Rhinolophus ferrumequinum: one gene and its partners. The protein of the gene in region 3 purifies or fractionates together with the protein of the main gene of each other region. This does not show direct contact. Links are inferred from orthologs where the notes say so. Each region holds a gene or a part of one and is shown on either strand. Other genes may lie near its edges.

Region 1 (8,015 bases), on a different chromosome or scaffold from region 3:
AAACAAGTTGCTGCAGTTTGAAGAAAATACTTTTAGATTTTCTGAAGCTAAATCTAAATAAAAATTTTAAAGATTTGTTATCAATTAAGTCCTTCTGTATACACAAAATTTTAAATTCCTCATCGAATGCAAATAACGGGATTTAAGCATTTCAAAAATCTGTTTTGGTAAGTAGTTTCCCAATTCAATTTTTTAAAAAATATTTTATTTGATATTAGTAATTATACTTTCATTTATTTTATTTTATTGGGAACAGTGTGTTTCTCCAGGGCCCATCAGCTCCAAGTCGCTGTCCTTCAATCCAGCTATGGAGGGTGCAGCTCAGCTCCAAGTCCAGTTACCCGTTTTCAATCTTTATTTGCAGGAGGCGCAACCCACCATCCCATGCGGGAATTGAACCGGCATCCTTGTTGTTGAGAGCTTGCACTCTAACCAACTGAGCCATCTGGCCACCCCACAATTCAATTTTTTTAAAAAAATAATGTTTTGGAAAATACTTGTTCAACTTTTTCAATTTGCATAAAAAGTTTTTATAAATCACAAAAACCTGGATTTTTGTTTTTATACACCACTGATTTCAAGACTACTTTTAAAAATAGTAGGATGAACTATTACCAAGGCATTGCTGACAATATCTGTACATTAGTTTCACTCTAAAATTCACCCTCAAATCTAGAACTGCTGTCAAAGAAACAGATTAAAGAACAAGCAACTGCTCCCCCCAAAAATTAACTGAGGTTTTCTAAACAATAATGTTAATTTCATTCAAGTATAATCCCAACAACTTTAGATAAAATAGATGCTCAGGTCTATGCTGATCAATCTACAGTGCACTAAACAGCACTTTGCTTATAATTTGTAAGGCAGAAAGACACTTTCTCCAACTGAATGCAAACCATTAGTAAATAGTTTTGAATGACATTTAAATATCAGTACATTGTGTTATGAAATGAACCGAATTAAATGACACCTATCTGATAACTCTTCCAATAATAAACGAGTGAGCATTCCATAGATGCTCCACGTTTGACCAAACTCTTTTGGTAAAAGACTTGGTTTAGAGTTCCTTTAAACAAAGAGAAACTCCACAGCTTCAGAGTAAATACGCCTATTTTTGAGAAGTCTTAAATAACAAGAACACTATTTACAATGAAAACATTCAGTCTTCTACTAATACACGATATGATCAGTACAGGAATGTACCTACCTGATAATAAGACTAATGCACTTAGACATGAATTAGAAGTATTAGAATATTTGGTCCAGTTCAAGTTATAAATTTTAAGTTCAGCAGTTACTAGGCTGTAATCTCAAATAAGTCATTTCTCTTTTGCAGATGTAAAAACCCAGGCTAAGATGAAATAGAGGTGATACAATCACTCACCTAATTTGAAATGTAGAAAATAAGCAGTGAATTACTGTAAAATGCTTTTTATTCAAGCATGCTACACTGCAAACATATGTTAAGAGTAGAATACAAGTGGTGAGATTATGGGTACCTGGAGAGTCTTTATTTTTAAACCAAAAGTTAAGGTGTATACAGTCTGACAAATATTACGAGGAACAGAAGTATTTAAAAATCCAGAAAAATCCAATACAGAAGTCAATCCAAGTATTTTTTAGAATCCGTCGACAAAGATGATTACTGTACAAAACACCTGAAAGTTAAGTTCACTAAGAAATATTCTTTCACTCCTCTCTTCTGTTAACTAATCCCTACAGCAGCAAAAAAAGTTACTTTCCTTTCTACCTACATCAGATTAAGATTCTTCACAGGCAGATTTCCATGCCTAGGGATATAAAACACCAAGAAAAACAGTGTCAATAAGAACCAAAAAGCTAAGTGTTCAGCAAAGGAAAGTAACACACAAATGAGAAAACACTTGACAGCCTATCCCTACCACCCCTCCCAAAAGCCATTTAATGGGGTTTATGAACGTTTACTGCTTAAGGACACTCTGGGCGAGTGTTTCGACGGATCTCCTAACAGGGAAACATAACCAAGCGTCCCAACTCTTTCAGGCAGTCGGGAAGATAGGGAGAATTATTAGAAACTGATGTACGCACGATCAGGAGTTTGAGAGAAGGGTAAGCAGTGTACTGGAAGGTGAGTTTAAAAACAAAAAACAAACCAAAAAAAACCCGGAAAATTGGGAAAGAAGTTGCTCGGAAGATTAAAGGGAGGCGAGGCCGATGTCCGGTTCTGAGAAGACAACACTGCAGGTGCAGACTGGAATTAACTTAGCATTTGGAAATTCTGAAAAGTTCTAGGAAAGACCTGACCCGGGTATAAGATACAAGAACGCTGATACGTGGCTCAAGAAGACACGCGGGGGTGGGACCCGCCCGGCTAACCCCAGGCTCCCCGAATGAGCCCTCAAATGAGGATCGAAGCCTGAGAAAGTCAACGGGTCCAAGGAAGCCCGCAGCGACCGAGCAACGCCACAGCACAGAATGCAACCGCGCGCGGTGCCTCCCGGTCCGAGGCCTCGGGGGTCGGTCGGCAAGAAGTCGGAGCAGTCCTTGGGGCTCCGGGCCCCTCCTGGCCCAGCCTCTGTCCTCTCTTCTCACCCCCCCACAGCCTGGGACCGGACCCCTGGGATTGACAGGAAGCTTCCGGCCAAGAGCTACCGGCAAGCGTGGGGCAAAAGCAGCAATATATTCTTAGCGCCGCGAGTGACACTCACCGGCCCGAAACCTCGAATGAGACCAGCAGCTCCGGGGGCGGCGGCAGCAGTGGCAGCAGGAACCGAACATCCAAAATGGCGGCTCCCTCGGCCTCACCACCGCTACTGCAGGCGGAGGGATCCTTAGGAAGCGGGGAGTTTTTAACTAAGCTCACACACTATCGAAAAACTTCGGTCCCTATCTTCCTCTCCTTGTCGATTCCGCGTCCTCTGACTTTAACTTCTCGTGCCTCCCCTCTCTAATTATCCAAGAACTCGAACCTCGCCGAGGACTATTTGCCAAGGAGGAGGTGACTGCGCCTGGCAGAGCGACGCAAAGCGTAGCATGAATCGGGGCTGTCACTGATGACGCGAGACGCTGCTGCCGAGTCACCGCTGCGGAGAGTCTGAGCGAGAAAGATCCGGCTGACCCAGCAGCCGACCGACATTGGTTCCGCTTGGGGGCGCCTAGGCTACCAGGAAGCGACCTAGTCACCTGAAGAGGGCGGGGCTCGCAAGATGGTAGCGAAGGAAGTGCGAGAGGCGAAGCAGGTGGTCTTGGATTCTGTGGTTTTATGGCATCTTTGCAACATACTTTACAAAAAGAGTTGGAGGATGACACGAAGAATGGATTCCAAGCCCAGTACCACCGCTCAACCATCTGCGTTGGACAAGTCATTTAAACTCTCAGGGCCTCAGTTTCCTCATATATAAACTGAGAGGATTTGGACTAGTGACAATTAAAATCCTTGCAGAGTAGGCTTTCTGACTGACTCCATGAACTAATGAACGGAGCCAAAGACAGGCTAACCAGACAGTTCCTGGCTTGATAAATAATTACTAACACCTGATACGAATATTTTCCATGTAAACGTAAAGAGGGCCATGATAGCTTGACCCATTTAAAGGAAAGGTGACCTACCTAAACTAAAATCCTTCAGATAGATTGGCAATAAAGTGAACCTCCCAAAGTGAATAAAGCACAGTACCTGGGTAGATGCCAAAGAGAACTGAACTAACCACAAATCTTGATTTTAGGACTTGTCGGTCTGTGTTTCCGTGAAAATAAGACCAGGTCTCATATTAATTTTTGCTCCAAAAGATGCATTAGGGCTTAGGTTCAGGGGATGTCAACCTGAAAAATCATGCCACGGCTTATATTCCGGTTAGGTCTTATTTTCGGGGAAACACAGTAGAAAGGTTACACTTTTCCTCTTAGCCATTCTTATGCCAGAATTTCAAAAGATTTTACAAAAATTGAACTGAATAGGCCCACCTGTACAATTTTGTTCTTGAACTACTGAGGCATGCCAAGCGGCTGGGGGGGAGAAAAAGATCAAGGGCATAATAATAGTAATTATTTTTTATTAAATATTGATACCACACTGTTTATCAAAAGCATTTTTGTATGTATAATCTAATCTTCCAACAATCTTCTGAGTCAGACTAGACAGGCATATGTAATTTAGTTTTACAAATAAGAAGATTGCGGCACAGAGAAACTGACTTAGTGAAAGACTCTCCCCATCCCCCATGGGGTTCTGCTATACCATGCCACCTTGCAAATTAGAAAACGGCACACACCCACCCACACCCATACCCACACTTAGGGTGGAATCAACCAAGGGCAAATGGTTTGGGGAGTAAAATGCTTATGGAATTCAGTCACCTTGTATCCCCTCCATGCAACTATTGTACAGTGCATCCCTGGATCACAGTGCAGCCCTAAATACAGTCGGCCCTCAGTATCCTCTAGTTGCTTCTAGGAGGAGTCAACCAACCACAGCTAGAATATATTTGGGGGAAAAATGTTACATTGTCGCTGATGTGTACTATGTAGTCAGACATCTGTACTGAATATGTACAGACTTTGTCATTATTCCATAAATAATATAACTACTATTTACATTGTATTAGGTATTATAAGTAATCTAGAGATTATTTAAACCATACAGAAGGATGTGCTTAAGTTATATGCAAATATGACACCATTTTATATAAAGGATTTTAGCACCCTTGAATTTGGGTATTCGTGGGAGTCCTGGAACCAATCCCCCACAGATAGCAAGGGCTGACTATAGTAGTGCAAAACTGGAACACCGTAATGATGCCTTGACATGGATTCCTCTGAGGTATAGCTATGCATGAACACATGCTAAAGTACTACAGTTTGAGGCTCCCATAAAAGTAAGGAATTTATAGGGTGGGCAGTGGGGTTTAAAAAAAAAAGTAAGGAATTTACAAAGCAGTTAGCTAAAGTATTCCATTTGCAACGTGACAAAATTTGCTTAGAGGTTGAATTTAAATGTTTACCATCGCAAACAGCAAAAGAAAAGTTAAGCCATCTTCTTAAGAAAGAGGATGGAGCTGTTTTCTACCATGCCAATGATAGAGCATGAAAGAGAAAATGACAGACATTATAAAAGGCAAACCCGCTTCATGTATTTTTTTTAACTTATATTTATCTTTATAATTACCAAACCCCTCCTTCAATGTAACTGAAAACTAAAAGCAATTGACCAAGTATGTAGCATGGTCATCATTATCCTGGAATCTTTGGTTTCTGTGGCTAGCAATTGAAATTTGGGAAGACTTAATCACCATCTACTCAAACATAATCCCTAATTTCAGATAAATAAATTACAACACATCAATAAAATGAAACACTATTCTGCCAATAAAAATGGAGGTTATTATGGTTTCACAGATTTTTAGAAACATTACAAAACATTATTATAAAATGAGCTTGTAAAAAGTGTGTACTGTATATACATAGGAAAACAGTTAAAGGATAATACTAAAATCTAAAGATGATTATCTTTGGATGGTGGAATTTAGAGGATTTTTTACTTTACTATGTTTTGTTTTTGCAAGGAGCATACTGTACTTTTATTTGAAAAAAATGTTTTACATTTTGAAAAAGAAAGACCTTATAAGATAATGCAGTTTTATGGATCCAAATGCTAAAAGAGATTTTTGTTTTTAAAATAGCAACAGCCTGAAAGTATTAAACAAATTTCTAGGAAGAGATAATGGCTGAGAGAAAAGATCATTATTTTTATGGTCTTGTTTATTACTGATACCTTGTACAGTTCAATTTAACAAATAATAACAACAAACAAAACTTCAGTTTTTGGCCAGGAGTGAGACCACTTGGATGCCCATCCTGGCTGGGTTTAACTCACTTTGTTCCCTGAGCAAAGTACTTACCATCTTGGGGCCTATTTCCTCAGCTGGCCAGTATTTATTTATGACTAGCCTTATTCCAAAATGGATTCAAAGCAGCTATTATGCAGAGAGATCAAATGTGTGAAAGCACTTTGAAAAGTATCAAACGTCATGAGAATATAAGTATAAAACTTTTTTGTGCCACCTGACAATTCAACTAAAGCATTTATTGATTGCCCACTACAAGTAACAGTAGTGCATTATGTTTTACAATTTACAAAAGTGTATTCATATGCATTGATTCATTTGCTTCTCACCCACCATGAGTTTGTAAAGCATACAGGCATTATAGAATAGTTAAAAGTGTTGGTTTCTGGTGTTAAATTGCCTGGGTTTAAAACTGCTCTTCCTCTCTTTATTGTGTGACCTTCAGCAAGTTACTTAACATTTCTGAGCATTTCTGAACCTCAGTGTCCCCATCTGTAAAATGGAGTTAATAGTAGCATTGGCATCTTAAGGCTGGTGTGTTAATTAAATGAGCTGATACATTTAAAGTATTAATATTACGACAACAGCTGATATATAGTAAGGGCTCAACAAATATTATCTCTTTTTAGGATAAATTTTATTATCCCGATTTTAGAGATGAGAAAACAGAAGCTCAGAGAAATGAAATGATTTGTCACACCTACGTACAGCAAAGACCAGACTCCAATCTAAACCTTTCAACTTTGAATATATCTTTTGGCGCATATAGTAACCATTCACCAAACATGTTGCCTGACTCTTTCAACTACATCATGCTGTTCTGGGTGTACAGAATCTATAACAGGCATTTCAAAAGGGACTGACTATCCATACTTTCCAGATAATTATAATCTCATTGAGGAAAACCAGATTTTTAAAAACTCCCCAAATCCAAAAAAATCAGTGATATTATTACTCAGCAGATACATCTGAGTTCCCAAAAAAGCAGAAAAGTGAGAGATCACTAGGAGCTACAGCAGTGAAAGAGGGCTTTTGGAAGACATGGCATGCAGTTGGACTCTGTGGTCCTGAGGAGGAAGGTGGGGGGAGCAATGGGGGGCGGAGGGAACCATCTCTCTTGGACTTAGATGCAGAGGGGTTCTTAAATGACTCAGTATCATCAGCTGAAGCCATATGACCTTTACAGCAGATGGGGAAAGCCCTCTCTGTGGAAATATGGTCAGCATCTTCCACAGGGAACTCTTCCTGCTCTCCATGTGCCAGAGATCTCAGTAGAGAAAGGAGACGCAACCCTATAGGAAATGCAGTGTCGTGAGTCAAAGAGGCAGTTCCACTGGCCTGTTTTGTTACCATTTGAGTGACGAATCTATAAATAAGCCTGAAAGTCAGGGAGAAATTAGTCCCTCTGTCATTTATGTAATGCTTTTGCAAAAAGCATTTTCACATTTCTTTTAAGCATGGTCCCTAATCACCATTTATCCTGGCCTGAGAAAATGGTTTAGGAATTAATCCTTCAGTTATGACAAAATCCTGATGTAAAACTTAAGATTCTAACAGCCAACTCCTTACACTCTTTGACCTCCTACCAAGAACATGGGGAAATCTACTCTATGTTCCTTCAAAGTAAAGACCAAAGAGGATATGAGGCTTGGCCAAGTTCCTTCTTTGCTTTAGAGACTTTTTTTAAAGAGGCAGCCTGAAGTACCACCGGAGATGCTTTATGTCATATTTAGGTTATATTTTCTTTTTTGTAGTGTAGTTACACTTGGTTTGTAAATGATTCTGTATTATGTTGGAACTTTTTGAGTGAAAAAAATCTCACCAGGTATGAGCCTGCAACCAAGTCAAACACTAACTGAGGAAATGGTGCCATGCTGCCATTTAGGGAAGACAAAACCGACGCCACTGGAGAAGATGCACCATCCAGAAACAAAACAGAGCTTCTGACTCATTGTTTCCCACTCAAGTCATTTTATTGCTTTAATATGGACACCATTATATGCCAAGAAGGATCCACAGTAAATTGGTTTCGTTCTCCTTTAGGTGCAAAGTCCCATCCTTGTTTCTTTAAAATCAGTCAGTCCTGCAAGTTGCTTTCAAATGAGCCTGGGAAGTCCAAGAAGTGTTGGGACATCCACGGTAACTGGGGCACCCAGTTCCTGGTACCCAGTTCAGGGAACAGCAATCTCCTTC
Region 2 (6,988 bases), on a different chromosome or scaffold from region 3:
ATGCTCAACAAACACTTGTTGAATAAATATTAAAGTTAAGAAAACTGAGGCCTAGAGACTTAACTAAATGCCATACAGGTAGCTCTTGGCAGCGCTAGGACTGGAACTAACATTTCATTACTCCAGTATTCTCTCTATAAGCTAGAATATGATAATTTAGATAATTTATTTTGGTAGTTGAGAAGTTGGAGAGTTGGTTGGCAGGAAGGGGAAGAGGGAGAAAGGAGTACATCAAAACATTTTTCACATTTTCCACCCAACTTTCGGTTTTGCTTAACTGATAAAGGCAAAAAAAAATTATAAACTAAACAATCCCAGAAGAGTGCCTAGAACATAATAGGTACTTAACAAATATTTGTTGAATAAATGAACCTATTCCAAAGCCATTATTATCTCATGACCAGAGGAAGAAACTAACTTCAGCATGTTTAATCTTTGTAACTGTTATAGAGCCCTTTAGAATTTCCCGTCATTCATAAGACAGTTATTAATCACTTTCTTCCAGATGGGCACTGAGAGAGGACAGATGAATTAAAAGATATTCCCTGCCCTGGAGGATCTCTCTCACTTGAGTATGCCTATATCAGCGAGAGGAGAGAGAGAGAGAGAGAGAGAGAGAGAGAGAGAGAGAGAGAGAGAGAGAGAGAGAGAGAGAGAGAGAGAGAAGACAGAGATATTTTGGGGGGAGGGGTTGACATAAACATATCTATACTGAATGTGAAACTAGGTTGCATTGTTATCCCAGTTTAGTACCTCCAGCACTTAAAAAATTAAATTAAAAAAACACAAATCAGCAGTTTTAAAATAACAAGGAGGCACATATTAGGGTATATTAACACTTGGGAAAAGTTCTTTTTCCCGTGCCTTTACAATATATCTTACTTCCTTTTAATGTCTTAAAATCAAAATATTCTAAATTGACTTATTTGAATTGTCAATATAAATGAACCACCAATGTATGTCCTAGCATTTGAGACAATGAAGTATAATACTCCTGCTTCAGTATGTACTCTGTATACATGTTAATATTTAAATATGTAACCATAAGGACATATTTCAATTATTTAACTGTCTATATGTCTATAAAACTGACAGAGCCTGAAGAAAACCTTCAGAGATGAATGCTAGTAAATAGAAACTAAAAGCATTGTATTCCCCAGGGAGAGAATAAAGTAGGCAGGCATACAGCTAAGAAGTAAACCTACAAAGGCCTTCGAGGGAACAAAATCTTCAAGAGGGGAAAAACTCCTACCCGAATTGACCAACTGAGCCAGAGAACACCAGCCTGCCAACAGGATCTTGTTTAATGCAAGTGACTAACTAGACTCATAAAAGAGTGAACACCCAAAAGTCAATCTTGCCATTCTTCAAATTTGAGTGTCAGGAGGATCCCTCCAAAGAGATTCACCACCAAAACTAAGTCACCACATTCCAAGGATTCTTCCCCATTATCTGCTTGTCAAAATAGGATAAGCAACACCAAACAAACTAGGAAACAAACATTCACTTATGAGTAGTAATTCTTGCAAACTGGGGTTATTTTACTCCAGGTACGTTTATGTGAGATTCCTGGTTCCAGGGGAGAACAACTTTTCACTCAGTCTATCTTACAGTGGGGTAAGCAAAACATCCCAAAACCTCTTGATCCCAGCAATGAAAACTCTCCAGCCCAAACGTATACCCTATCCCAGTGTTAACGCCTATGAAGCACGAAAAATCCAGGCCAAGGAGACTACAAGGTGGCAGGGAGATACTAAAAGGCAGGCAGGAAGGTTGGGGTGGGTGCCAAGGGGAACCGACCTGGCCACCAGCTCTGGAGACAACATGCTGATAAGGTGAGACCGGGATAAGTTTTGGTCAAAGGAGTGGGAAGGTACTGACAGGTGCATGTCACCTCATTATCCTGGACATCATGGCAAGATTACAACTGACTTTCTTTACAGAGAGGGAAGAATGAGGCTGCCAGAGTCAGTGATGTTGAGAAGTTTTCTGGGAAGCACAAGGACTGGGGCTCTGAAGGAAGCAGAAAAGCAAGAGGAAAGACCCTGAGAACCGGTATTGGTGAAAATTCCCCCAGGACAGGTGTTCTCTATGGCCGTTCCCAGCACCAAGACTGGTGGAACCACCACACCTGTTAAAGGATGTTTCCCTGCTACCCGCTTGGACAGGAGATAGGAATGGTAACAGACGTGAGGAGGAAAGGACTAACCGGGGGTCTGACCCAGTACGAAACCTGATCAAGAGGGGAAGAGGCTGAACTCAGGAAGGGGCTAGCAGGGTAAGCACGCGGGTCGGATAAGACATTTGGAACAGAGACTGACTGGAGAAAACTGTTGGGGAAGGGAGGGCTTTCGTTGGAATCCAGGGGGAAAAGGCCGGTTTAGCGAGCCCAGATGCCTTGAGCGTCCGACTTGGGAAGGTGACTCTAACTGGGGGAAGCGCGCTGCCTAACCCACAGGGTGAGCCTCGAGCGGGCCGAGGGCTGCCCTGGGCGATCCGCGCGAGCTCAACAGGAGCTCACCTGGGACGGTCTGGCCTGGAAGGAGGAAACTTCCTGGGTGGGGGAAAGCTGAGTGGGGGGAGAGGGACCCAGCACCGACTAAGGCGGGGAGGGGGCACGGTGCACTTAGCTGGGGCGCCGCGTGGAGTGGGGCCAGGGGCGCCGACCCACCCCGGGTGGGGTCGCGGCTGCCGCGGCGGAGCACCGGACTGGGGATGGCGCCCTCCCTCCGGCGCACACGCTCTCGCTCTCACTATCGGCCACCTCTCCCGGGGCCGAGAGAAACTGCCCGGGTCGGTGAACCACAGGGCGGTGGGGGAGGGGGCCGGCCGGGGAAACCGACCGATCGAGCCCGGCGGATGGGCGGGTGGTGTTACCTGTGTCAGGGAGAGCTGGGCCGCCGCAGCCATGGTGTTTCCATCATGCACGGGAGGGGAAGGAAGGACGGGCGGACGGGGGCTCGGGGCGGGGAGGAGGCGGAGGGAGCGGCCGGAGGCGAGGCCCGGGCGGGCGGGCTGGCGGGCGTCTCCCCTAACTTCGACAACTTCCCTCCTCTCGCCTGCCCCGCCCGCCCCGCGCAGGCCGCGGTGGTACCCAAATCCTGGCGCTGGATTTTAAGCTGCCCGGCCGGAGCTTGAATCCGGAGTGGCCTGGAAAAACCCGGCGCGGATACGAAATTAAGGCGGACGGGCTGTGAATTTTAGGCGGGTCACCTACCTACTCTAAGTTTCTGCTTCTGAAAAAAGGGGGAAATTATACCCAAAGTCCAGGCTGCTTGTGAGGACTAAGTAAGATAATGATAGAAAATAGTAACAGTACTTTATATATGCCAGAATCTGTGCTAGGTGCTTTATTTTTGAATTGTATTAATGAAGGAATTGAGACATAAGTTGTACTCGTATAAATGAGGAAACTGAAACACTAGTGTCATACCAAAGGTCATACACCTGATTATATAGCTAGAATAGGATTCAGGTCCGACTCCAAAACCTTTCATTTAACCATCTGCTATTAGGGTGTGATATTGAAAAAGAAAACTTAAGTCATTCCCTCCAGGAGTCAAAACCTAGAAGAGAGGGGGAAGGAATACTTTTCTTGCATGCTTGCTGCCTGCCATCCTTAGACTGTTCAATGAAAGAGCACTGGGACTTATTCAGTTGCCTACAGCCCTCCTAAAACCTCCCATAGTCCACCTGGCAAACTCCTCCTACTTTCTCATGACACAACTCAAGTATCAACTCCTTTGCAAAGCATCTGCTAGCCTCCCCAAGTCAGACTTACACCTGCTTTTCTTTTTAACCTTTTTTCTCTACCTTATGAAGTCATCATCACCCTGGTGACTGTTTACATCTGTCTACCCCTCTAGACTGAGAGTTCCTTGAGGACAAGTACTGTTTCTGATGTACTTCTAGATCCTCAGACCCTAGCAAATAGTATGTACTTAATAAAGCCCATGGTTCCTGCCTATATTAAACATAAAACATCCTACACTTTCTCATGCTGCCATCTTCAATTAGAAAAACCAACCAGTTACTTGAAGGCCTCCGCTTTAAAGGTTTGGCTTATACGCTCCCTACTTAAAGAAGCCTTCTAGGAAATCCCACCCCATGTCTTAGTTGCTCTGATATGTTCCTTATTATACTTGGTATGCCTTGTTTCTAAAAGGTAGTTGCGTGCTTTTCTGTACCCCACCAGACTGTGAAATCCTTGAGGACAGGATGCCGACTGACTACTATATTCCCCTCACAGTGTAGTCTGGCACCAAGGAAGCCTCAATAAATGTTTTTTACCCAGAATTGGTCTCCCTTTCTCAGTCATGGTGGGTTCCCACAACAATAAACCGCAACTCTATCAAACCCACACCTCTGTAACCATTATCACAGCAGTCGCCATTTGACCCACCAGGAGAGCCAACTAAACCCAGGACTGAGTTAAAACCCAGCTAGGTTTTTAGTCCTTTGTCACTACAGGCAAACCATCCCAGAAATGCCCCCCAGAAACTCCTGGCTCTGTTCAGACCCCTTTTTACAAGGTCCAGCCATGAAGAATAAGCCATACAGGTCTGGTGAACAACTGCTTACTCAAGAGAATCTCCCTTAACCTCCTTTTGCTGTTATTCTTTTTAACTCAAGGGAGAAGGGGAGATACTGTTTTAAATTACTCCACCTTGGTACCTCTATCAGCTATAACAACAACTGATGTTTCTACTTGAGTTTTCTATTTTACATTAAGATATTTGAGCTTCCCAACTCTGAAAGGTAGTAATCACCATACCCACTTTACAGGTGAGGTAACTAAAGGCCAAAGAGGTCAAGTGATTTGCACAAGGTTAGACAGCTCATAACCAAAGCAGTATAGCATAGTGGAATAAACAGGGCTTGGACATCAGAAGCACCCACGTTCCAATGCTAGCTCTACCATTTCTAGTTGTACAAACTTAAGATTGTTGTGAGGATGAATAAAACAACATCTGTGAAAATACCTAAAGACATAGATACACAAATTTCACTAAGAAATCTGAAAGTCATGGAAGAAATTGATACTTTAGGGTGAATAGAGTCCCAGTGTATAGTTTCCTAGAAAAGCAATGTGGGGAAGTAAAGAGAATATTGGAGTCATTTAGTGTGTGACCTGATTTTCTCATGTATAAAAAAGTTTTCTCATGTATAAAAAAGTGTTTGAGCCTCATTTTCTCATGCAAATCAATGTGGAAAATATTGAGGAAATATAAGGCATTATCATTATAATTATTCTGTGATTGATATTAAGTAAAAAAACAAGACAAATGTATACAATATCACAGTTTATAAATGTTTTTACAGCATGTAGCACAACTCCCGGAGTTAAATACACACATGATTAAAGTTTGTTGAACTGAACTGAATGCATAGTCTTGTGCAGTTATTATTTGGATCCTAATTTTATCCCCATTTTAAAGATAAGAAAACCATGGAACAAAGATTTTTCTAAATAACTTGTTTAAATAAGGATTGCTTAAATCAGGTTTGGGCCTTGGTTAAAATGACAGTAATGATAATTAGACCTCTCAGCAAAGGAAGACTAGTTAAAAATCATTATATTAGAATTGCTCCAGGCCCCTTCCAGACCACCAATAATTTGTACTCGTTTCCTTCTCTGCTCATTGGTTCTGGTTTAAATTAAAAACTTGACATGTAGTGGGGGGTGGGAGTGATGGTCTAAACTAAAAAAAAAAAAAAAAATCTAGAACTTCTGGGACTGGATTTTTTAGAACGATACGCCAATGATAGTTTGCAAATGCGTGTCCCAGATCTCATCAAAGCACTGGGTCATATCCCAAATCTATTTTAGGAGAGTATAATGTAGCTAATGGAAGATATGTTATTATCTAATTCAGTGTAACAAGAATGAGCTTCATGGAGCAGACAAAAAGGGCTTACGTGTTTTTTCTAGGGCCACTTAATTTCTCTGGGTCTCTAAATCTCACATTCCTAATGTGTACATTGGAGATAATATCTACCTTGTAGGGATGGTGCAAGGATTAGAAAACATGCATAAACATCCTATCCAAGAGCCTGGACTGGAATAGATGTCCAATAAGTGGTACTAGCTATAAGCATACCATTTTTTTAAGACCACTTCACCATTTAACTCTCTACCCCTCAGACAATCCTGCAATTACTAAGTCAATTTTGCAGACACATTGCCTTGAACAGCTGATACACATACCCCTGTCATCAGAAAAGTAAATGTTCCCTAGGTAAATAAAGCTGTGTATGATGACTTCAATCTGGATAGTGAGAACCGACAATTGCTGCTTTCATATTATTTCATTGAATCCTCATGACAACCCTATAGGATTATTAATTTTATTTTACAGAAGAGGAATTTGTCCAAATTCATAGTGAATTATATACAGGCCTTCTGACTCAAATGTACTTTTTACTAGGGCATGTTGCTGGTGTCCTGCAGACATTACTCACACCCGAGGAGACTTGATAAAATGGTGCTTCTAACCATGGAAACCGGAAGATGAGGCTCCGGATTTATAAGAACCCTAAACCCAAGATGATCCTGAAGAGGAGAACTTAGAGCATGAACAGTTTTGTCATCAGCCTATCATCCCATGTTTCTATCCTACTCTAACTCCTACTCCCCCTCGCCAACCCATCCTTAAGGGAAACCACAGTGATTTGTGTTTCTTTACTTTCTGACTTTTGGAGGGGACTGTTGTATCAGCTCTTCCTGAACACTGCACATCTGTGATGCCAGCATTTAGAAATGCAGGATGATTGATTGGAACTATGAAAAAAAAAAAACCACAACCAACTGTGGGGATCTCTCTGAATATACAAAGAACTAATTTATTTGCATGAGACTTTAAGAACGGCCTTCCATATAAATGGTGCTAAGCTACCAAAAAAAAAAAAATTATACTGCAATTGTAATGGTAATCTGGAGCTCATGCTTCCAAGCTGCTGGTTTCATAAATATAGCCCATTATTGTTC
Region 3 (7,025 bases):
CCAGAATAAGGAGCGATTCCAGGTCTACTCGGATAGGCCAGAAAGGGCAGCATGGCCTCCCTGCCCTTCCACCTGCCCCTCAGTGACCCGGAGGCTGCCTCAGGCTTGCTCACAACCTCTCCCCCAGAAATGGCCGAGAGGAACTGAAACAGCTAAGTCAGCAGCCTGCCTCCTTCTGAGAAAGGGAGTGAGAACGGGAGAGGATTAGGCAGCCTGGAGAGGCTTGTGAGAGAACCCACACACAATGTGACATACAGATGGTGTAATACAGAACTGTACACCTGAAATCTATGTCATGTTACTAACAATTGTCACCCCAATAAACTTTAATGAAAAAAGAAAAAAAGAATCCAGTGAGGGCTCTCACCGTGAGAAAGGCTTTTGACAGCAAGACTTAGATGGATTAGTACCTCCAGCCTGGCCACTAACTCCACCCACTGGAAACAGATCTCCCTCTTCCTCAAAGGAGGAATCAACCTGACCAGGCGAAAGCACTCATCTCCAGCTACCAGGTCTCCCACTAAGGGAAACAGGAGGCCGGAAAGGCCAGAGCTCCTAAGACTTCGGAGACCACGCCATTCCACAGGTCCCGTCTAGTGGCCAGCAACTGGCTGCCAGGCCAGTACCACCAGACCTCATGGGAGTCAGGCTGTACTGGCTGAGCTTCCATGATGCAGCAGGGGGTGGGAGTGGTCAAGTCAAGCCTGATAGGAACAGACCTGGCCCTGCATGCTGGGGAGGAGGGCTGGGAAGGTGGGGGCACAGCTGGCTCAGCCAGGGGACTCACCCGATGTCATCTCGGTAGACCCGGGAGATGAGCACCTCCCCCTTGTGATTATAGATGAATAAACCTCCAATCATGGCGGCAGCTCAGTCTGCGAGGCCCATCGTTCTGAGAAAAGACCTAGGATAAGCAGGGACAGGGTAAGGGAAGGCCTCATAAACCCTTCCTGCGTCCCCTGTGGGGCTGTGCAGGTCACAGTCTGGGCTTTTTTCCCTGACTCAACTCTCCAGTAAGTGTCCCTGCAGCCCTCCCAGGCATGCCCCTCCCCTTAGCCAGGCTCCAGTTCCTGTTTATCCCACACTGGAAAGGAGGAAGAAATGGTGAGGGACTTGGGCCCAGGATTCTAAGGCCATTTTAACCCTCCCTTTCCTGGGGCTGAGCCCACATAGTAGCCCCTTTCCCCTTTTCACAGAGCCGAGCTCAGCATGGATCCTTTTCAGCTCCTTCCTGTGCAGACTCACTTAGGCTCCCACCAGTGAGTCACTGCTAAGGCCTGCCTGCGGCTGCAGGAATGGCGGTAGGAATTACTCAGTAGGTTCAGGCCTGGGGCCCCCAGGCACAGCTTTAGAAGCAGTCTCAGGCTCTAGTACCCTTCTGGGAAGGAGGCAGGGCCTGAACTTCTGGCTCTCTAATTCACAGAAGTCTAAACATTCCAAGAAAAGGTGTGCAGGGTGGTGGGGAGGAGGAAAGAAGGGAGGCCTTAGGCTCTGCCAGGCAGTCTGATAAGTAGGCAAAAGAGCAGAAGGGAAAGGCCTCAGCCCTGGCCTACTAACTTCAATGACCCAAGCTGCTTATTAGTTATTTTCGACCACCCCCTCTTTCAAAAACGGGAGGCTCTCTCTTAGCTCCCAAGTACAATAAAAATAAGCCGGGAGGCGAGACGAAGGTACATAAAATTAAGAGATCCTTCCAGCTGAAATTCTGTGATTCCAGACCCACAATACAACTCACTCCTGGCCTGAGTGCCTACAAGCAAGGGACAGGATGCCTGATTTATCCAAATTATTTGGGTCAAACTAAGACTGTTTGCATGAACAAAAAGGGTTAATTTAGTTCTAGATTTCCTGGGTTAGCCCTGGTATTAATTGCACAGGGGGAGTTTAGCAGACTTTTCTAAACTGTAAAATAAATCCTATTCGTGTGGCTATCAAAGTCTCCCAGACTCAGTGAGAGGTCTGTCAAGGTGGTGGACACATCCCATTTCTCAGCGCCAAAGAGGCTGGGAGAGGAAAGGCAAAATGGAGGTGGAGCCCTGGGCAAAGGTTCACAGGTATCAAGTGGTAGGCAGCTCTGGCACAGAGAAGCAGAGGGGAGGCCCCGGACAGGAATGGAATATTTAGTTAAGGAAAAGCCTGGCAGCAACGCCAGGCAGTACCCTCAGGTGGGCACATGTGTACCACAGCAGCAGCGGGGCTGGTGGGGGCACCTGGAGGAAAGTTTCAGTATGGCAAAGGTCAGGGCTTTGAAGAGGTGGGGGAAACTGGCAGTGGTGAATAAGGGAACAATGGGGTGACAGAGCCTGCTTTGGGGTTCAGGTGTAGAGGTATGAGGAGGTGGTGGGCTTTTCCCCTGGGTAGGAAGACGTCGCAGAAAAAAAAGAAAATGATTCCACGGGGTGCGGGGCTGTCACAGGTCTGAGGAATAAAAGCCGCGGGTGTCTGTCAACTGGGAGGAAGGGGTGCCGCAGGGTGGGAGCCTTGTCACACTCCAAGGAGGCGGCACAAGGGGGTGTCACTGTCCTGGGGGCTTGGGAAATTGTCCTTGCGCTGAGAGGAGGCGCCGAGGGGTAGGGGTGTTGTCACGATCCCATGGAGGGGGGAGCCGCGTGGCGCCCCGGATCTGGGAGGATTCCAGTGGGTCTCCCTCTCACGGGAGGCGCCGGGCGGGTCAGGTGGAGGGCGCCGCTCCCCGCCTGCCCTGCAACTGCGCCCCGGGCGCCCCCGCCCCGCCTTCAGCTCCCTCCGAGATCTGAAGGCTGAGGCCACTCCTGGGTGTGGACAGCTTTCCGCGTAGCGCAGTGCAGGGAAGGGCAAAGCCGGGCAGCGGGGCAGGCGACCTGCCTCACCCCGTAAGGCCAGATCTCGAACTCACCTGATGTCCGCGGACCCCCTGCTCCGCCCGCCCGGCCACTCTCCGTATTCCAAGATGTCCGCCCGCCCCCTGCTTGCCTGCCCGCTGCCTCTGCTTTCGCCGCAGTGCCCCGGCCCCGCCCCGGCCTCAGCTGCGCGTGCGCGTGCGCGTCCGACTCCCGCGCGGACTACAAATCCCGTCAGACCCTCAGACTTCACGCTTACAATTTTAAGCTCTCCAAGTTTAGCAAAACTACAACTACCGAATGCCTTCGAGAACCTTCGACAAGAAGGGTAGGAGTGGCCTTATCCAGCCCTACCCGAAATACACATCCCAGCATACGCTGCTCACGCTCACTTCATTTTCCCCACTGAGTATTCTGGTAATTGCAGTCCCTCCCCTTCCTATTTTGGTGTTTTATGAATGCCTCGAGTTCAAGGGCCATTTGTTGAAGCCCATCTGTTAAGCCTTGGATTGCTGCAGGCCTCTTCTGTCTCCAGAGTCCGAGGACTGGCTGTCCTCACTTTATACACAACACACAGCTTGGCAGTAGAAGTATTTGTGCTGAATTTACTGCTTTCTAACATCACCTCTGATTCTACCAAGTTTTTTTTCCCAGCATATATTTGTACTAGACATGAGCCGGTTCCCAGGGATCAAGACTCAAGGAAGGGGACGGTGGGTAATGAGGCAAGTACTTGGACGAAACTTGCTAAAGCTTTCCAAGAATACGTGCATGTTCTACTTCAGCTATACCTATGTGACTGTCAGCTCAAGGCCACAACCTGTGTGCCTTCCAGTGAGGCATATATGTTGCTTAGAAAACCGCTGGTGAGTTTAATTTAATTGGACGTGGGATTTGAAATCCCTTCTGATGAACAGTGTCAAACTTCATATCCAAGCCAAGAGGAAAAGAGAGAGCCAATCCTTGAACATGAAAGGCCTGACTGGCTCTTGCAGGACCTGAAGAAAATTTGTTGGCTCTTCTCTTTCTGTAGGGAGAGAGACCGTGATGCCTTCCCTAGTTAGGGCTGAGACCATCATTGGAGGAAGATGGAAGGGCAAGAAAGGGCAAACCTTGCAAGCTTACTGTCCCTAGCATCCTCTTTCCAGAAGCCAGAATGTGGCGAGATAAAGATTTGGCCTCCTTCATTCAAATCATGGTTATAGCTGGAAGCCATTAAGTGACGGAATACAGACAGTTCTGATCCCTGAACCAGCACTCAAGGCTTCATCCCTACCTTTCCAAAAGCTTTATCTTCAATACTTATCCTAAGCCCTTACCAATTTAGAGTAAATAATAATAATAATAATAATAATAATAATAGTAATAGCTACCATTTATTGAGCACCTATTCTACTGTGTGCCAGGCACTGTGCTAGGCACTTTTCGTACAATATCTAATTTAAATCCTCACAACAACCCTGTGAGGTAGGTATTATTATCATCATTTTACATGTGAGGGAACTGAGGCTCAGAGAGATGAAATAACTCTCTTATCACACAACCAAAAAGTAGTAGAGCTGGGATTTAAACCCAGAACAATCTGACTCCAAATCTCATGCACCTGTGAACTAGAGTAGAGGCAGAGGGAGAAGAAGGGCCCAATTCAAGAAATGTTGGAGTAGAATGGATATGATCTGCTGACTAGTAAGAGATGGGAAAGAATTTAAGCCCATAAATGTTTCTAGCTGGTGAGCCTATGTAGATTGTGATGAAGGTAACCAGGGTGGGAAGTCAGGAGGTGGAGGGGGAAATGAGTTGAGTCCGTATGGACATGTCCATGGAGATGTCTAGTGGGTTATAAAAATACAGATCTAAAGGTTGGAGGGAAATGGGGGCTGGAGATGTATATATATGAGAATCATCAGTGTGTCAGTGGCAGTTGAGGACATTAGGATTGATGACACCATTTGGGGAGTAAATAGGAAAGAAATGTAATGAACACTGGGAGCACCAGCACCGAAGACATGAGCAATAGTAGAGGAATTCTCAAGAGAGTTAGACAAAGCAGTCAGAGAAGAAAGAAGTACAGGAGGCAGCCCTATAGTGGTGGCTAGAGGAAGCCGTGGTCTTGGCTGGGAACAAACCCAGAGCTTCCAGAAGGCAGGCAAGACGGAGTCAGACTTCCAACACAACCCTCACTCACTAAAAACCCCAGGAAGTATTTGTTGAAATGAGTGAATGCCAAAATGCCCCTACCCGGGTTTACCCCAAAACCTGGAGCTTAGTACTTCATTTCACTCTTGACATCCCAGTTTTGACTAGGGGAGCCTAGGTGAGCCAGGAGAATTTATAGGAGAGACTTAAAGAGAAAGTCGTGATTTGTTTAAACTAAAAGTAAGCTAAAAAAATAAAACCTGGCACTGTCTGGAAGTCCCAGAAGTCCCCCTGCCCTACTGCTCTGGGGTATCATGGTGATTGTGAAAACATGAAAGGTTTGTGCAGCAGTAGGCATGGTGAGAACAGCCTGTCAGTTGTCTGGGGAGTCCTCTGCTGAGCCTAGCCTGAGACCCAGCTTATGCTTTATCCAGGTAGGAAGATGAGGAGGACGTGCACGGGAGGCTTGAGGACTACGAGGGAGGGGAGGAAGGGTGGAGGTAAATCGGGACCAGCCCTACCACCTGGGAGAGGAATGGAAGAAAGGGTCTAGCCCTCTGGGCAGGGACCAGCCCTAAAGCTTAAGTGGACTTTGCATAGGCATGTGCACGCGCGTGCACGTGTGAAAGAAAGAGAAAGAGAAATAGAGAGCACGCACACACTCTCTGGAAAGGCGAATAGAGTCGTACATGGGCAAGTGGCTGGGGCCCTCCCCAGAAGCCTAGTGACTCAACATGTTGAAGTATGGGTATAGGGGCTGAATATCCTTGGGAAGCCCTGAGGGGCTGCTGAAGCAGGGTTCCTGGTCTCCTCGGAGGCTGGGCCTCCCCTCGCTGGGGGCTCACAGAAAGTCAAACAGCCCGAAATTCTTGGCTGCTCCAGGCCCAGGAAAAATTGGGGGAGGAAAAAAGAAAGAGAAGAAATGTTTCAGGCCCAGAGGTGAGATGAGCCTGCTGGTTAGTAGGGTTAGGGGTCTGAAGGAACCAGCACACAAATGCAGGCACGGTGGGATGGATGGTGGTGGGGTAGAGCGGAGATGCTCCCTTGAAGCCACTAGCAGATCAGGCACCTGCGGGCCCTCTGGGCTCCTGGTAAGGGCCCAGCACAGGCAGGGAGTTACCGGAGGTGACCCCAGTTCTAGGGTACAAGCAGCAGGCAGGGGACAGTTAGGAGGAAGAACAGACGAAGCAAGATTTTTTTGGTGTCAGTATTGTGGGGAAAAGTCAAGAGATTGGCACACATGCTTAAGGGGATGAGGGTAACAGAGGGATGATGTAGGTGGATGAATGGTGAAACTGAGTGGGGAGAGGTGGGGACAAGGGGCCGAGCAGGTCCTCAAGGGCACTGCTGAGGTCGACTCCTGAAGTGTATGCAGAGAAGGGAGTAGGGAACAGCACCAGCGAGTCGGGTCCCAGGGACATGAAGGATCCTGGGAAGTCCTGTGTAGCGGTTAGTGGGCAGAGGGCCAAGCTGGGGCCATGACAGGTTAGGGGCTGCAGGGACGATCGGTGGATGCGCCCGCCCTCACTGAGCCCAGCGAGCAGTTAGCGCGCCTGGATTTAGTTCTGTTTATTTCCCTTTTAGGTACCAGACAAAGTAAAAAAGACGGAAGGAAGGATGGAGAGAGGGACGCAGCCAGCCAGGGTAGGGGTGGGATGGAAGTGGGGGAGGGGCCCTGCTCACATCACATCCACAAAGAACTCACTGGGGTTTCCCATGGCCATGCGGAAGGACTGTCTGCTGGCGGTCAGTTCGGGGGGCACAGAGGCCAGGTCGCGGCCAGGAGGGGCTCCTGGGGGCCCCATGGCCGCGGGCGGTGGGGGCATCATCAGCATGGGAGGGCCGTAGAGAGGGGGCACGCCAGGGGGGCCGTAGCTCGGGTGCGTGTGGTGGCTGCGCAGGCTGCTGGCCAGCGAGTGGTGGCTGCGGTGGCTATGCTCGCTGGCGGCAGGCCCCGAGCGCTCGCTGGGGGCCCGCTCCCGCGGCCCCCGCAGGCTGCTGCGGGTTGTGTGGTCCGACTCGCTGCCGCTGCCGCCCGACTTCGAGTCCCCGGCCTTCGGGTCCTTCTCC
Region 4 (7,651 bases), on a different chromosome or scaffold from region 3:
CCCAATCCCTGCTCTGGGGGCCGGGCTGCCCTCTGCAGCTCACCCAGAGGCACAGGTGGCACAGGACTTCTGGAGAGATTTCCCCTAACGTGCGTCTGCTGGCTGACCCCAACACTGCCCAGCTTAGCTCATCTCACCAAAGAAAAAGCTGAGTCGGCCAGTTTCCAGCTCTTTCAGTTAACGGGCGTGGTCAGTCTGGGGAGTTACCACTTAGCTGATAAACAGAATTCCTGAGTGAGAACCAGAGCTCCACAGCAGAGGGCTGTGCGTCTTCACCCAGCTCGTCTCAAGACAAGCTCCGGGGCTTCCCTTTTGGGACCAACCTACAGATCTCCTCTCCTTAGACTCCAAAATTAGTATTTTCTTAAGGGCCCTCCAAAAGAAAAAGTGCTTGACAGGAAATACTGCCTTTAACATCTGGGGATACTGGTTACTACAACCAAAGGTGGGGAGGATGGTTCACTGGGGTCTTAAAGGTACACACTGGGGTTTTTAATTTCCAGGACAGGTTCCCATGACCCCGCAGTGGCCTGGCCAGGCCAGGGCTGCCTCTCCCTTCACAGAGTGGCATGGCACCTCAGCCCCACACACACAGACTTCCCTTGCCTTTACCTGTGGTCCTGTCCTCCAGCTTGATGTAGGCCACCTGCCCTCTTGCAGTGATCCGCAGCCGGCCACTCCATGATGGCTGGTCCAGCTGCCACTCCGCAGCCCTAAGGGGACAAAAACCATTGAGCCTCTGCTGGAGGCTCCCTTCTATGCTGAGGATGAGGATGGGAAGGGCATGTGGAAGGCTTGCGCTAGAGACTGGCGAACTTCTCTGAAAACGGCGACACAATCTGTCACAAACACTCACTCTGCCATTGTAGTGAGAGCAGTCAAAGGCTGTACGTAAGTGTGTTGGTGCTTTAAGTATTTTAAACGAATGGTTTCTACAGAGTGTGGCTGTATGTCAGTGAAACTATGAACCAAAATTTGAATTTCATGTAATTTTCACTTCATGAAATGTCTTCTTTAAAAATTTCTCCAAACACTTAAAAACATAAAAACCAGTCTTAGCTTGTGAGCCATACAAAAACAGTGGAACGTCGTTTGCTGACCCCAGTTCTAGATTACGAGTCTAGAGATCTTCTCTGAAGTAGGAATTCCAGTTTTATTTCTATAGAGGAAGCAGCTCCTGGGGCTTGTTGTTTGTTGAAGACAGTGCTAGGCTGGTGTGGTCAGTGATCATTTGGGACCACTGACACCATCGTGGAGGAAAAGCAGAGAGGGGAGCAATCATTAGCAGAGAAAAGGAGAGCAACAGTACACGAGAAAAGTGAACGGGTGTTTAAGAAACATTCTCAAAGGTATCCTAGGCAGAAAAGCAGAAAGGAACCCAGGAAACCATGGACCTATTGCAATACCCTCTTTTGGCTCTTTTAAAGCAGTAACTTCACATTTTAGTTCTAAGAAGCCGCTCAGTAAAATCCCCTAATAGCAAGAACTTTGGGTGTTTCCAAGAAGCTTTTCTTGGAAGTCCCAAGCATATGGGACACACTATAACTGTGGATGTAGGTTGTTTGGAAGGCCACCCAAATGCAGATTCTCAATTCACAAGTCAGAAGTCAGCAGGCTGTTTCAGTTCCTCTTACTGGGGCGACAGGCCTTAGACTCTGAGCTCTGAGATTGAAGGACAGCTTCCTCTATGCCAAACCGGCCAGTCCTGACACTTGGTAATCTTGCTCTCTGGGGGTCCAAGAGGCGTCAAACCCATCCTACTGAAAGGGGATGAGGGTAGACAACCATCACTGGTTTGGTGGTCCATCTCCAGTGATGACAGAAAGCAAATGTGTTTTTGCTACTTTTATACTATTTTTGTGCTATTTTTAAATCATGTTACGGATGCAGCAGGTGTTCAACAAAATATGGGTTCATTACCCAATCAGCTATGATCCCATTAACACAACTGGAAATTAACAAGAGGAGAGATCTGTCCACACTCCACCATCCTTTTGCAGGCCAGTCCTGTATTTCCAAATAACTTGAACAAATACTCCCTTCAAGAGCACACCCCCGCCTTACCACCCCCCACCCCACCCCCACCCCCCGCCCAGTGGCACAAAATAGCCATAGGCCAGGTTGTCTGTATCAGGTAATCTTTTTTTCTTTTAATTATTTTTCGTCTTCTTTTGATAAGTAATACATACACACGGTAACAAAACGCAAACAGTACAAAAAGGTACACAGTGAAAGTAAGCCCCTTTCAACCCCCGTTCCCTTCCAGATAGTCTACGAGTATATGTGTTTATTCGTCTCAGGAACATTTCTCCAGAGAAGTGTGGATGGATTCCTCCCAACTGCCACAGGCAGCGATAAAGTATCAAGTTCACACGAAGGGAGCTGGACAGGGAGGGCTCCCTGGGCTTCCGCCATCAGCTTAAAAGCCCCCGGGACCTGTCCTTTCGGCCGGTTCTGGGCTCCCTTCCTTCCCCTCCGGGATTTCCGCCTGTGATAGGTCCCCTCCCCCCTAAGGCTTTTCAAGGATCCCTTCAAGGCCACCAGCTAGCTCTGAAAGAAAAAAGTCTGTGACACCACCACTCCCGACCACGTTTAGGGTACCTGGCAGCCCACCGGGTCCCCAAACACTAGACACGGCTTTAACGCCTTTCCCGCAGCCGGGAGCTCGGTGCGTTGGACCTAGACGGCCAAAATTCTGGGCTTCCCTTCCAGCTCTGACCAAGAACCGAGAGAAACCTGAGCATTACCTCCCCTCGCCCCTAAGCTGGCCGTAACCATCCTCAGCTCCCAACAGTGGGCGTGCCGGGCGGCGGGGAAGGGATTAAGTTGGGGCTAGCCTGGCCCGGTGGTGGGCAGTCACCTGTAGCCACGGTTGGTGGCCCGTGGCGGGATGCGGTAGATGTGCACTTCTGGCTTGACGCAGAGCACCGACTCGTACTCGCCCTCCTCCATTGCGATGCCCGGAGCCCGCCAGACTTCCGGCTCCTTCCCAGCCTGGAGCGGGGGTGCCGGAAGCGGCGCGACTCTATGACCTGGGTCAGGCTAGAGCGGCAGCTCGGGACCTCAGCACCACATCGCTCCGGCGCCCTCTGCTGGAAGCCCTGGCTCAAGACATACGGCGGTCGGACCCAGGAATCCCCCTGATGAGGACTGGGGTTCTCCAGGGGCTTCCCCCTCCCACAAGGCCTCGTGCGCGGCAGAGTACAAATACCTGTTCGAGTTCTTGTTTTCAGTTCTCTTGAGTATGTATCTAGGAGTGGACTCGCTGAGCCATATGACATTTCTATGTTTAGCTTTAGGAGAAGCCCCCAAACTGTTTTCCACTCCGGCTCCACCGTTTTACATTCTCACCAGCGGCGAACAAGGGTTCCAATTTTCCTCAACTTCACCAATACTTATTTTCTATCTTTGGTCATAGTCATCCAGGAGAGTGTGAAGTTAATCTCTCATTATGTGAATTGGCATAACTTCTAATTTCAACTTTGCTCATTACCCTGCTTCTGCACATTAAAGAAGAAATTGAGAAATGACCCAGAAAATGATATTTCTTCCTCCCAGTTCTTTGATCCTGACTCTCATCTTGCTAAAGTCCTGGAGGGGCAAAGAGAGAACTCCCCTTAGATGATAGAGGGGGAGAGGTATTAAGACGGAGGTGAGGACACACTCCCACACAGACAAATCTTATCCCCTTATATTCTCACCGGTCAGTTTATATGTCTGTTTTCCCACTAGACTGTGAGCTTCAATGTAGGGCCCCGTCCCTGCCACCTGTAGACTGCTGTATTTAGTGTCCTGGCACAGAGTAAGTGCGCAGTGAAAGAGTAAATGAGTGAGTGTGTGTGTGTGTGTGTGTGTGTGTGTGTGTGTCTGTCGTGCGGGGCAGCCTGCGGGGCCTCTGGTCCCGCTCCCCACATAAGAACGCAGGATATGGTGAGGCCAAGAAGGAACACCCACGGAGCCATAGGTAGGGGAGTCATGCCACTATAGTCTCACTGAAGGCTGGGAAGACACACGCAGTAGTAGCCACATGACCCACAGTCCGCCATTCACTTCTCTGCCTGCCAACCAACCAACCAATCAACGCAGCCCTGCAGTTACATCAGTAGCCAATTGGCTAACCGGTTACAGCTGATGGCCAACTAATCACAGTTGATGGTCATTCACTACCCGAGCCAGCACCTCCCCACGCAAGCCCCAGAGCCTGGAAACTGCTCTCTGGGACTCTGTCCCCGACAGTGTGTGTTTTCAGTTGGCTGCATTCCAAGGCCAAGGGGCAATTTGGGAATGGGCCACTGTGTTTTCTCTTTCATACTCTGATTCCTTACATGTGCTGAACAACATGGGAAAATCAAGTATCACAGAAGGAAAGCACCTGGACCCACTGAGTCAGAGAAACTTCCATCTTGGAGAGCACCTAGGACCAGCTTTGGGGTAGCGTCTACCATCAGCACCGAGTTCCATCATTTCCGCTCTGGAAGCCAAGCAGTGGGGAGGTGACCCTCAGTGACTCTTCTGGGCCTTGCCATGTGGCTGCCACAGGTAGAAAACCTTTCTCTCATCAGCCTCAAAGGGGATCATCACTCTGTGCCAGGGGCAGCCAGGCCTTACAATGTGTTCAGAGCACTTTCAGTTCAGTTCAGTCTAACAAAGATGGGCATTGAGTGAGTACCTACCAGATGCCAGGTGCTGGGTGCTAGGGCCACAGAGATAAGGCTGACCCTGCTCTGCCTTCATGGAGCTCACAGACCAGAGAGGAGACAGAGAAGAAAAGAGTCATTTGCAATGCAGAGTGAAAAGTGTTATGATGGAGGAAACTCACAGGGGCCTGTAGGAGTGAAGAGAAGAGAAACCCACGCAACCTGGGGGCAGTCAGGGATGGCTCTCTGGAAGAGGTTACCTTGACAATAATCCCTGTGAGGTAGACAGGGCAAGGATTGTTATCCTCATTGTGTAATGAAGGCCACTGAAACAGTGACAAGCCCAGGGAAACTACAGTGCCTTCTAGTTGGAGGTCAGACAGTCCCCTTGCCTTATTCTCAAAACCCAACCACATGGCTGGACATTCCCTAAATGCGTTCCTAAACCTCTGTTGCTAAGAATAACTGAACCTACCATCTACTCCCAGGTTAACTACAGTATTTACCAAAAGAATTCAATTCAACCCAACAGGCAGAGAATAGGCTCAGAGAGAGCCCATCTTATGTGTGAGGAGGTGAGCGGGGTTGTAAAATCTCTCTGTGATTTATCCAGCTGTTTTCTTGTTGGTCCAGGGCCAAGGGGAGCGGGGGTTGGATGTGAGCAGTTTTCCTTGGTGGCCTCCAGACATATATATTATAGGTCACTTATCATCTTTCTCTGTTGTGTTTTCCTACCATCACAAACATTTTATAAGAGAAGTTCACCCATTTCTCAGATGGGGAAAATACTTATAAAAGAGCACTCGATACCAAAACAATTTTGAAAAAGAACAAAGTTGACGTGTGGAATCTGAAAATACAAAACAAACAAATAAAACAGAAACAGACTCATAGATACAGAGAACAAACTGATGGTTGCCAGAGGGGAGGGGGGTGGGGTATGGGTGAAAAGAGTGAAGGGGCATAAGGGGTACAAACCTCCAGTTATTAAGAAAAAAATTCTCATAGATGTAATGTACAGCATAGGGGAAATAATAAATATTATTTTAATAACTTTGTATGGTGACAGATGGTTACTAGACTTATTGTGATCACATCATAGGAAATATGTCGAATTACCTGAAACAAATATTATATTGTATGTCAATTATACTTTAATTAAAAAAAAAAAGAACAAAGTTAGAGGACTTACACTTCCAGATCTCAAAACTTACTAATGAGCTACATTAATCAAGACAATGTATTACTGGCATAAGGATAGACATATAGATCAATGGAACAGAATTGAGAATCCAGAAATAAACTCTCACATTTACAGTCAGTTGACTGTTCGTAAACATGCTAAGAAAATTCAGTAGAGAAAGAATAGTCTTTTCAAATGATTCTCGGATGATATATCCACATGCAAAAGAATGAAGTTGGACCCCTACCTCACACCATATACAAAAATTAATTCAAAATGGATAATAGACCTAAATGTAAAAGCTAAAACTATACAACTCTTAGAATAAAGCATAGACATAAATCTCCATGACCTTGGATTTATGTTATAATAAAAAGAATCTAATGGATTCTTAAATATGACACTAAAAACATAAGCAGCAAAAAAAAAAGCAAAAGAAAAAGTAGATAAATGGGACTTTAACAAAATTGAAAACTTTTGTGTTTCAAAGGACAAAAAATGGAAAATACAATTCACATAACGTGAGGAAAATATTGCAAATTATGTATCTGACAAAAGACTTGCATCTAGAATATACAAAGAACACTTACCATTCAATAATAAAAAGACAAATACCCAATTTATATATGGACCACGGACCTGAATAGACATTTTTCCAAGGAAGATATACAAATGGCAAGAAGCACATGAAAAGATGCTCAACACCATTAGTCATTAGGGAAATGCAAATTAAAACCACAGTGAGATACCACTTCACATGAACACATAATTCTAGGATGGCTGGAATTATTTTTAAAAGTTGGATAATAACAAGTCTTGGTGAGAATGTGGAAAAATTGGAACCCTCATACACTGCTTGGAGGAATGTAAAATGATGCAGCCACTTTGAAAAACAGTCTGGTAATTACTCAAGAGGCTAAACATAGAGTTACCATATGACCCAGCAAGTCCACTGCTCGTATATATGTACAAGAGAAATGAAAACATGTTCACACAAAAATTTGTACACAAATATTCATAGAAGCATTATTCATAATAGCCAATAAGTGGAAACAACTCAAATGTCTAGCAACTGATGAATGGATATACAAAATGTGGTATATGGGCCATAAAAAGGAATGAAGGGCTGATACAAGCTACAACATGGATGAGCCTTGAAAACACTTTGCTAAATGAAAGAAGCCAGTCACCACGGACCACATAGTGTATGATTCCATTTACATGAAATGTCCAGCATAGGCAAATCTATGAGACAGAAAGTAGATTGGTGGTTGCCTCGGGCGGGGGGTGGGGTACGTGAGATGAGGGGATGGCTAAGCGGTGTGGGCTTTCTTTTCGGGGTGACAAAAAATGTGCTAAGGGTGGTGATTGTAAAATTCTCTGAATATACGAAAAGCCATTGAATTGTATACTTTAAATGGGTGAGTTGTATGGTATGTGAATTAAATCTCGATAAAGCTGTGAAAAAAAAGGGAACCAAGTGTCCTGAAAAGGGGGCACAGTCTATATTGGCCACCCACCCCCCTCAAGTCTGTCCTCAGATTCCATGCCTTTCTGCTAGGGTTGGGCTCTTCCCCTTCTTGTCCAGATTCCCAGTTTGTAAGCTTCCAATGGGAACGGAGACGGGGGGGCTGGATCCCCTCTGGAGCCTCTGCCCCCTTCAAACTTCAGCTTGTGGAATATTGGGGCCTGAGAATTCTGAGGTTGAGACTGCGCTTTCTGAGGTGGAGAGCGTGAACAATGGGGGGCGTGTTTGAGGGGTCTGGCTGGGGGAGGTTTCTCCAGATGGGTCATCCACCCCCGGTGCGGGAATGCTTAGGGAGCCCTAATG

Evidence for each region.
Region 1: the proteins of AP2M1 (region 3) and AP1G1 purify together in Homo sapiens (affinity purification with mass spectrometry; 3 studies listed by BioGRID and IntAct, counting the BioPlex papers as one, with this or other methods). This does not show direct contact. The link is inferred for Rhinolophus ferrumequinum from reciprocal best matches to the Homo sapiens genes AP2M1 and AP1G1.
Region 2: the proteins of AP2M1 (region 3) and EPS15 purify together in Homo sapiens (affinity purification with mass spectrometry; 4 studies listed by BioGRID and IntAct, counting the BioPlex papers as one, with this or other methods). This does not show direct contact. The link is inferred for Rhinolophus ferrumequinum from reciprocal best matches to the Homo sapiens genes AP2M1 and EPS15.
Region 4: the proteins of AP2M1 (region 3) and NECAP2 purify together in Homo sapiens (affinity purification with mass spectrometry; 4 studies listed by BioGRID and IntAct, counting the BioPlex papers as one, with this or other methods). This does not show direct contact. The link is inferred for Rhinolophus ferrumequinum from reciprocal best matches to the Homo sapiens genes AP2M1 and NECAP2.

Annotation. Positions count from the first base shown.
Region 1 is NC_046298.1:20,876,478-20,884,492, reverse strand, and holds the start of AP1G1 (AP-1 complex subunit gamma-1), read right to left. Parts: upstream 3,019-8,015; 5' UTR 2,688-3,018; intron 1-2,687. UniProt on the Homo sapiens protein: Subunit of clathrin-associated adaptor protein complex 1 that plays a role in protein sorting in the late-Golgi/trans-Golgi network (TGN) and/or endosomes.
Region 2 is NC_046292.1:36,801,400-36,808,387, forward strand, and holds the start of EPS15 (epidermal growth factor receptor substrate 15), read right to left. Parts: upstream 3,006-6,988; 5' UTR 2,911-3,005; coding exon 2,878-2,910; intron 1-2,877. UniProt on the Homo sapiens protein: Involved in cell growth regulation. May be involved in the regulation of mitogenic signals and control of cell proliferation. Involved in the internalization of ligand-inducible receptors of the receptor tyrosine kinase (RTK) type, in particular EGFR.
Region 3 is NC_046285.1:60,945,407-60,952,431, forward strand, and holds the start of AP2M1 (AP-2 complex subunit mu), read right to left. Parts: upstream 3,005-7,025; 5' UTR 2,876-3,004; intron 905-2,875; 5' UTR 862-904; coding exon 788-861; intron 1-787. Other genes in the region: DVL3 (segment polarity protein dishevelled homolog DVL-3), read right to left, coding at 5,797-5,828, 6,661-7,025.
Region 4 is NC_046292.1:11,052,280-11,059,930, reverse strand, and holds the start of NECAP2 (adaptin ear-binding coat-associated protein 2), read right to left. Parts: upstream 3,006-7,651; 5' UTR 2,953-3,005; coding exon 2,861-2,952; intron 714-2,860; coding exon 613-713; intron 1-612. UniProt on the Homo sapiens protein: Involved in endocytosis.